Sus scrofa: one gene and its partner. The main gene of each other region encodes a partner of the protein of the gene in region 2 in a complex. Links are inferred from orthologs where the notes say so. Each region holds a gene or a part of one and is shown on either strand. Other genes may lie near its edges. The genes, in order: KATNA1 and KATNB1.

The links.
Region 1: the proteins of KATNB1 (region 2) and KATNA1 are in contact, whole or in part, in a crystal structure (PDB 5OW5), measured with the Mus musculus proteins. The link is inferred for Sus scrofa from reciprocal best matches to the Homo sapiens genes KATNB1 and KATNA1. Residues at the interface, in NP_083081.2 of Mus musculus: Leu485, Val486, Asp487, Glu488, Ala490, Met491, Gln493, Ile494, Arg495, Gly497, His498, Met501, Phe502, Val504, Leu505, Thr506, Arg508, His509, Leu512, Asp513, Val515, Arg516, Trp519, Thr521, Asp542, Leu543, Ile546, Gln549, Lys550, Leu553; in NP_035965.2 of Mus musculus: Leu5, Gln6, Ile8, Val9, Val12, Arg16, Ala19, Leu20, Leu21, Gly22, Tyr24, Tyr31, Tyr41, Leu50, Lys53, Trp54, Gln56, Val57, Glu60, Ile61, Val63, Glu64, Gln67, Val68, Asp70, Ile71, Thr74, Leu75, Ser77, Phe78.

What each region holds. Positions count from the first base shown.
Region 1 is NC_010443.5:16,340,550-16,344,357, reverse strand, and holds part of KATNA1 (katanin p60 ATPase-containing subunit A1), read right to left. Parts: intron 2,825-3,808; coding exon 2,644-2,824; intron 1-2,643. UniProt on the Homo sapiens protein: Catalytic subunit of a complex which severs microtubules in an ATP-dependent manner. Microtubule severing may promote rapid reorganization of cellular microtubule arrays and the release of microtubules from the centrosome following nucleation.
Region 2 is NC_010448.4:19,633,197-19,637,004, forward strand, and holds part of KATNB1 (katanin p80 WD40 repeat-containing subunit B1), read left to right. Parts: intron 1-3,259; coding exon 3,260-3,390; intron 3,391-3,808.

The DNA of each region.
Region 1 (3,808 bases), on a different chromosome or scaffold from region 2:
GAAAAAAGAAAAAGAAAGAAAAGAACAAGAAAAAGGAAGAGCTACATGCACATCTGTACTTTTATCAACACAGACAGTTGTGTTCAGAGGTGTCAGCTGGCTGGTTACTGGATGAGGTTCTCAAGCAGAATTACAGAGATTGCAAATTTAGAAAAAAGAACTTTGAGTAGGGGCTAATATAATGTTTTGAAGAGGAACAGATGGGCCACACTGGGGGCTTTACATTCGCTGTGACCCAGTTTCTCCTTTGCCCAGGTGGTGTGGAGTGGTCCTTTTGGTACTGCAAGTCTGACAAGTTATCCTGTACTTTAGCATTTCGCAGGGGACAGGGAAAGGTGGAAGCAGAAGCGACAGAAACTGAGTCCTTAGATTCCCACATGCTTCTGACTCCAAGGGAGTACAAGCCCTCAATTAATATTAATTAGCACTGAAAGCTTAGTTTTTAAATCTCTTTCCCATCAGTAGGAACCAGAGTTTCCTGGGGAAATGGGGGAAATACAGTAAGAGCCCGAAACATCCTATCGTGTCAGAAAATGAGGAGGTGCTCAGAGAACAGTGACTACAATTCAAAAAGACTTAAGATCCAGTTTCAAGAGGCTACTGCTCCTCAAATCTTGAACAATTTTAAGCATCAAAAAGACAGTGACAGACTTTAATTCAGTGAATAAAATAAGAATCCTTGAGTCCATAGTGATAAAATTAAATCAAGGAGAAGGGAGAGAACTCTTTCTTATGGTTCAATGTAAATTAATTAATGTAGGTGAGATAATGGCATTAGGAAATTATATTTCAACTATCAAAGGAATAACTGATTCAGGCAAGAATCACTGGAGGCTAGGACAAGTATGTGAAATTTTTTTTTTTTTTTTTGGTCTTTTTGTCTTTTTTTTGTCTTTTTTTTTTGTTGTTGTTGTTGTTGCTATTTCTTGGGCCGCTCCCGCGGCATATGGAGGTTCCCAGGCTAGGGGTTGAATCGGAGCTGTAGCCACCGGCCTACGCCAGAGCCACAGCAACGCGGGATCCGAGCCGTGTCTGCAACCTACACCACAGCTCACGGCAACGCCGGATCGTTAACCCACTGAGCAAGGGCAGGGACCGAACCCGCAACCTCATGGTTCCTAGTCGGATTCGTTAACCACTGCGCCACGACGGGAACTCCAGTATGTGAAATTTTAATGAGAGATAGGATATTTATATAATCATAAAGTATCTCCCCACAAATTACCATAAGGGGAAAAAGAGTAACTTTACCGTGGAGAGGCTTGGCAAACACCATCCTAACCAAGTGACCCAATTTATCATAAGCAATAGAACAAAGAAACATCCTGTGCTTCATTCATTACATGATAAACTCAGAAGAACAAAACTTCACTTCAGTGGTATTCTTGCCAAAAATGCACCACCTTAATCTAATCATGAGGAAACATCAGGCCAACCCAAATCAAGGAACATGCTACAAAATAACTCTTAAAACACTCGGACAAAAAAGATAAAGGCTGAGGAAATGTTCACACGAAAGAAGACTAAACACACGGATGACCAAATGTAACACATGCTTCTACAGTGGGTCCTGGGATGGAGGGGGCTGGTGAAAACTATAAATGACATTATTAGGATAACTGGCAAGAATTTTATGAAGGTCTGTGGATTAGATAACAGTTCTATATCAGTGTATTTTTGATCACGGCATTGAGTTTATGTGAAAGAATGCCTCAATACCTGGGAAATCAGCCCTAAAATATTTAAGGGTAAAAGGGCATGATATCCACAACTTTTTTTTTTTTTTTTTTTTTTGTCTTTTTTAGCCTGCACCTGCAGCATATGGAGGTTTCCAGGCTAGGGGTCGAATTGGAGCTGCAGCTGCCAGCCTACGCCACAGCCACAGCAGCACAGGATCCAAGCTGCATCTTCTACCTACATCACAGCTCACAGCAACACTGGATCCTTAACCCACTGAGTGAGGTCAGGGATCAAACCTGTGTCCTCATGGATGTTAGATTCGTTTCTGCTGAGCCATGAAAGGAACTCCTCCACAACTTACTCTTGATGCTTTTAGAAAAAAAAAGTATACGCAGAGAGAAAATGATAAAGCAAAAGGGGCTATTAACTAATAAAACTGGGTAAAGAGTATGTGGAAGTTCCTTATGCCATTCTTGCAACTTGTTTGCAAGACTGAAATTACATCAAGATAGAAAGTTACAGGAGTTCCCGTTGCAGCTTAGCAGAAACAAATCTGACTAGTATCCACAAGGACACAGGTTCAATCCCTGGCCTTGTTCAGTGGGTTAAGGATCTGGCATTGCCACGAGCTGTGGTGTAGGTCACAGATGTGGCTCGGATCTGGTGTTGCTGTGGCTGTGGCGCAGGCCAGCGGCTACAGCTCTGATTCGACCCCTAGCCTGGGAACCTCCATATATTGTGGGTACGGCCCTAAAAAGACCAGAAAGAAAAAAAAAGAAAGTTACAAAGAGCACCAAAAAATATTTGTTGAATGGTGAGTGGGAAGAATCCCAGCCTAGGTGGAGAATGGCTATGGCTTTACTATAGCAGCAGATATAATTACTAAAAATTATTAAAATTTGTTGTCTTCATTTTTAAGGATGACAAATAACTCTTTCACTTATGAAAATCAGTAACATTTACCTTTTCTTCCCTTCCTTTATTCTGTTCTTTCTTTTCCCGACAACGAACAGTTTTCCCTCTGTCATTGTGAAGACTGTGTGTAGATGGACGGTGACCTCTGACAGCCGTACTTGGACGATTACCGTGTGCTTTGGCGTCACTGTACTGAGGAGACTGACGTTTTCTAGGTCCTGGGGAGGGTCTAATCAAACACAAGATCATGAAAATCGTATCAGCTCTTGGAGTTGGTCCAACTGTAGGTGAACACACATAGTGTGTAAGTTAAGAGCCTATGAATTAAAGAAGCGAAGGCAATAAATGAACCCAAGAAGAAATGAAAAACCTGAGGTCACTGAAATCTAAGATCTAACATGATAGCAGACACAGCTGTCTGCAGGGCAGTATGGTTACATGGTGGAAATAGTGGAAGGCAAATGACCACCACCTCTCTTTTGAAAGGAGATAGCTGATATCCTTGGATATTGAGGATAAATGAAAAATTAGTCTGTTTCTTGGAAACTTCAAAGAGAGCAATAATCAGAGAAGAGAGTTTTATCAAAATACAGCATTAATCAGAATTCCCTGATGGCTCAGCGGGTTAAGGATCCAGCATTGTCACTGCTGTGGCTCTGGTTACAGCTGTGGCACAGGTTTGATCCCTGGTCCCAGGGAACTTGTGGATGCCAGAAGTGTGGCCAAAAACACCAAGAGCAGCAATACACAACTTGACCTATCTATTATTAGTTCTACTCTGAAATTAAGAAAATGTAATCATAGCAGTTCCCACTGTGGCATAGTGGGTTAAGGATCCAGCATTGTCTCTGCAGCAGCATGGGTCACTGCTGAGGTGTGGGCTTGATCCCCAGCCTAGCACAATGGGTTAAGGGTCTGGCATTGCTGCAGCTATGGCTCAGATTCGATCCCCAGCCCGGGAATTTTCATATGCTGCAGGCATAACCAGGAAAAAAAAAAGTAATCATGAATGCAGGAAAATATTCACTTTATTTCTAACAACAAAAAAGGGAAAAACAACCAATAAGAGCATGGCTAACTATGTAGGTTATATCCATTAAAAGAATATCAAGGAGTTCCCGTCGTGGCACAGTGGTTAACAAATCCGACTAGGAACCATGAGGTTGCGGGTTCGATCCCTGGCCTTGCTCAGTGGGTTAAGGATCTGGCGTTG
Region 2 (3,808 bases):
AGGTCACCCTTTACTGTAAGCTGCCCTTGGGCTGTTTTCAGAAGCCAGGACAAGACTTCTCCACTTATTAACTCTGAGAACCTGGGCCTTGGCATCCTCATTTTAAATGACAAGAGGATTGGGCCATTTGCAAACTGTTCCTCAGCCCCTAGGGTTCTGGGAGAATCCTCTTACGGGCTGCCAAGGAGGGTGCACTTTGGACATAGCAGCTTTGTATTTATTGGGGTTATGTGTCTATACCTTCAACAGCTGGTTTTTTCTGAGAAACCAGGAGAGAACCTGGCAGAGGGAGGGCAAAATAGCTAAGGTCTCTCTGCTGTGGGGCTCAGAGCCTGGGGAAAGCAATAGGCAGGAATGAGATAATCACACCCAGCCATTTCTCCTTTTCTGATTCTAAGCAGAAACAAATGCTTTGAATCAGTGAACTAGATGTGGGGGTGGGGCATGGGGAAGTGCTGTGCCTGAGCCTCCTGTGCAAAGGCCCTGAGGCAGGAAGCTTGGTGCGATGGAAGGTCTCAAAGGAGGCCATGGGCAGTGACGTAGCAGTGTGGAGAATGTGGTGCCCCATAGGCTGGCAAGGTCTTCAGGGACACATGTCCACAGGACCCTGGCCCTTCTGAGGCTTTGGCTTTATCTGAAAGGCAAGAGCAAGCCATCAAAGCATTCAAGTGGGAGGTGATGTGATCAGGCATATTGAGCATCTGCTGACAGTTTCATGTGCACGGCAGTTTCCGCAGGTATAAATTGTCTGAAGAATCCAAGGCGGAATGACCCCTGGCTCCTTGTGGCTCTAGAATCTGGGGAGGATCAGAAGGTGTCTGGCCAGCATGAGGCCCGGGTGAAGCCTAGTCTTTCGCACTTTCCGTTTGAGCTTCTGCCAGTGCTCAGTGTCTCTGGCCAGAATGCTGTGTTCCCCCAGCAGTGGCTGGGATGTAGGGCCCAGCTTGTGCCACCTGAGCCCGGGCAGCTGGCGTGGGCCTGTGACACAAGGTAGAGCAGCAGCCATCAGCCTGGCTTGCCAGTAGATGTGGTGAGGATTTTTTATTTGTTGGCATTTAAATTCGGTACCCGGTCCTGGCCATTGGTGAGTATGGTCCTTCAGGCCAGAAGGGGTGCTCTTGGGCCAGTGCCCTGTGCCAAGGCCTCCTCTGCCTGGTGCCTGAGGTGTGCCCACCTCCGCCCTCCCTAGTCCTTCAAGGAGCTCCTTTCAGTCCCCTGGTCAGGCTGCTTGCAGGGAAGTGGTCTGAGCCCTTCTAGGAAAGGGCCCAGCCTCCAAATTCTGCTCGCCCTCAAGTTTGTGGTTCTTCCAGCTGGGTGCTGTCCTGGGAACCATCTGATCAGGCCGTAGAGTGAAGACAGGAACCTAATCACTCTCCCTCCCCACCGTCCCTCGGCGCCAGGCCTAGAGCGGCACCTGGGAAAATGTACATATGGACGAATGGCTGTCCCCAGGGGTTAGAAGTCCTGAGGTACAGAGCGGGGTGGCAGTGCTCTCAGGAGGCCCAGGGTGGTGCGGCCTAGCCAGAATTTTCCTTGGGAAGGGTGTGAGCTGGGGTGGGCAGGCAGTCACGCCTCCAGGTGGGTCATACACAGAGGGCGGCGTGTGCAGGGAGCATCCAGAGAAGAGGAGGGGGCCCCCGGGCCGGGCACACAGTGCTCGGGGGGGGGGTGGTTTATGCTTTCTCTGGGCTGGGCAGCCAGTTTAGCCCAGCAGAAGCCCTTGAACAGACAAGTGTCTGCAGCCCGAGCCCCAGAGCACCTAGGCATCTGTGCCACTGTGTCCAGAGGACAGGGGGCTCTGTGGCTGAGGAGCGGACCGGAGAGAGACCCAGCTTTCTCGCCTCCAGGGGCAGGGTCCCTGAGGCCCCAGGTTACATTTGGGCCTGCTGCCAGCTCTCATCCTGCGGGGGCTGGGTGCCTGGGCTGTTGTCGGTGGGGTTGAGCCTGAGGCCTGGTCCCCTGGGCAGTACTGACAGCCCCTGTGAGCCATCCCGCCTGACAAGCAGCCTTCCTGGTCCCTGTCTGCTAACCTCCCTGCAGTCTGAGGCCGGCGCCACAGAGACCCCAGGCTGGGTGGAGGCAGGAGGGGCCTCTGCAGGGCCACCCTCTCTCTTGGAGTCATCCCTCGGAGTCACCCAGTCGGGCCTCTCGGCTGCCTGCCTCGGGGCATCAGCGTGTTGGGGTTTTCCCTCGTCTCTGTGAGGAGACCTGTTTCTTCCCTCCATGTTCTCAGGAGGAGCTGCTCAGGCTGTGGCTGGAGGCCTGGGCTGCCTCTTGGTTCCTTGCCCGCGGTTTGTTCCCTTGGGGCCCTGGTGATGCCCTCTGAGACTTAGGTCTGCAGCCCCCTAGTCCAGGCCACGGGCCCTCGTGGCTGCCCGTGGTGACCTTGCCTCCCATTCTGTCTCGTTGGCCCTCACATCCAGGCCCCCCAGTCGGCTCCCTCCTGCTCCCCTCTCACAGCCCACCCCCCTGAGCCCAGTGCCCGCTCTATGGCCTCAGCCTGCCTAGCAGCCACGGGCACTCAGCCCCCTCACAGCAGCTCCCAGGCCCGTCCTCACTACACCCTCAGCAGCCTGTTGATCCAGGCACTATTATTATCCCCATTTACCCATCGAGGAGCTCAGTGCCTAGAGAGGGTGAGTGACTTGTTTAAGGCCACACAGCCTGCAATAGCAGAGCTCAGACTAGAACCCGGTCCATAACTCTGAAGCTGTTCTGGCTGAGCTCACCTTGGACAGTTTGTCTGCAGTTGCATGGTTCTGAAAGTGTGTCCCCCCAAGCGGAAACAGCGAGCAACAGCTGAGAGGCACTTTGGGGGCACATAGGTCAGTGTTTTTTATTTTAATAATTGTTTTCATCTTTCTTTTCGTCTCAGAAAAAAATGTAACGAACATATTGAACTTGTAATTATGTGGCTATTATTGCCTAAAAGGCAGAGCTAAGTAGAAAGAGCAAGTCATTTTAAAAAATTGAATGTGGTGACTAGTCAGCAGTAGTACCTGTTGATATGTGGCAACAAGGAAAAAAAACCCTGAGGTCTAAGGGTGGGATGAAAATGATGGAAACTGAGAAATAGTCATTTCTATCTCAGACCCCAGCCCCATCTTGTCCCACAGCTCAAGAGGGGTGTCTGGCACCAAAAGGAGAGCTGCAGGGACTTCAGATGCCAGGGCTGGTGGTGCCCAGCGGGAGGGCAGCCCTCCTCCGTGTGGTCCGTCAGGCCTCTGACTGCGTTTTCCCTCTGCTCTTTCCTGTGTAGAGGAGATCGTGGCCCACGCCAGCAATGTGTCCTCGCTGGTGCTGGGCAAAGCCTCAGGCCGGCTGCTGGCCACCGGCGGGGATGACTGCCGGGTCAACCTGTGGTCTGTCAACAAGCCCAACTGCATCATGGTGAGGCTGGGCCGGCGGGGCGGGGCGGGGAGCTGTGGGCGGGGCGGGGAGCTGTGGGCGGGGCGGGGCGGGGCGGGGCTTGGGGGCAGCTGTGGGCAGGGTTAGGGCTGGGAGTGGGCTGCTTTTCGGGCACCCAGCACCTCAGTCCCTCCCCCAGCCGTCTGCTTAGGAAAGCCCAGGACAGCGCGGCTGGCTGGGACAGTGGCTGGTCCTCAGAAATCAGGGGGTCGCCTGGCCGCGGGACAGAACTCTAGGGAGCCTGTGTGAGAAAGCGAAAAGAAGCCCACAGGCCCGAGTTTGAGCCTCCCCTGCCCACTGGCCCATCCCCCTGCTGTCAGATTCAGTTGGGCCATTTGGATTCATTCCCCACCTCCTCCCACGGAAAAGGATTTGAAGGCCCCTGGTTGGAGCTGGTGAG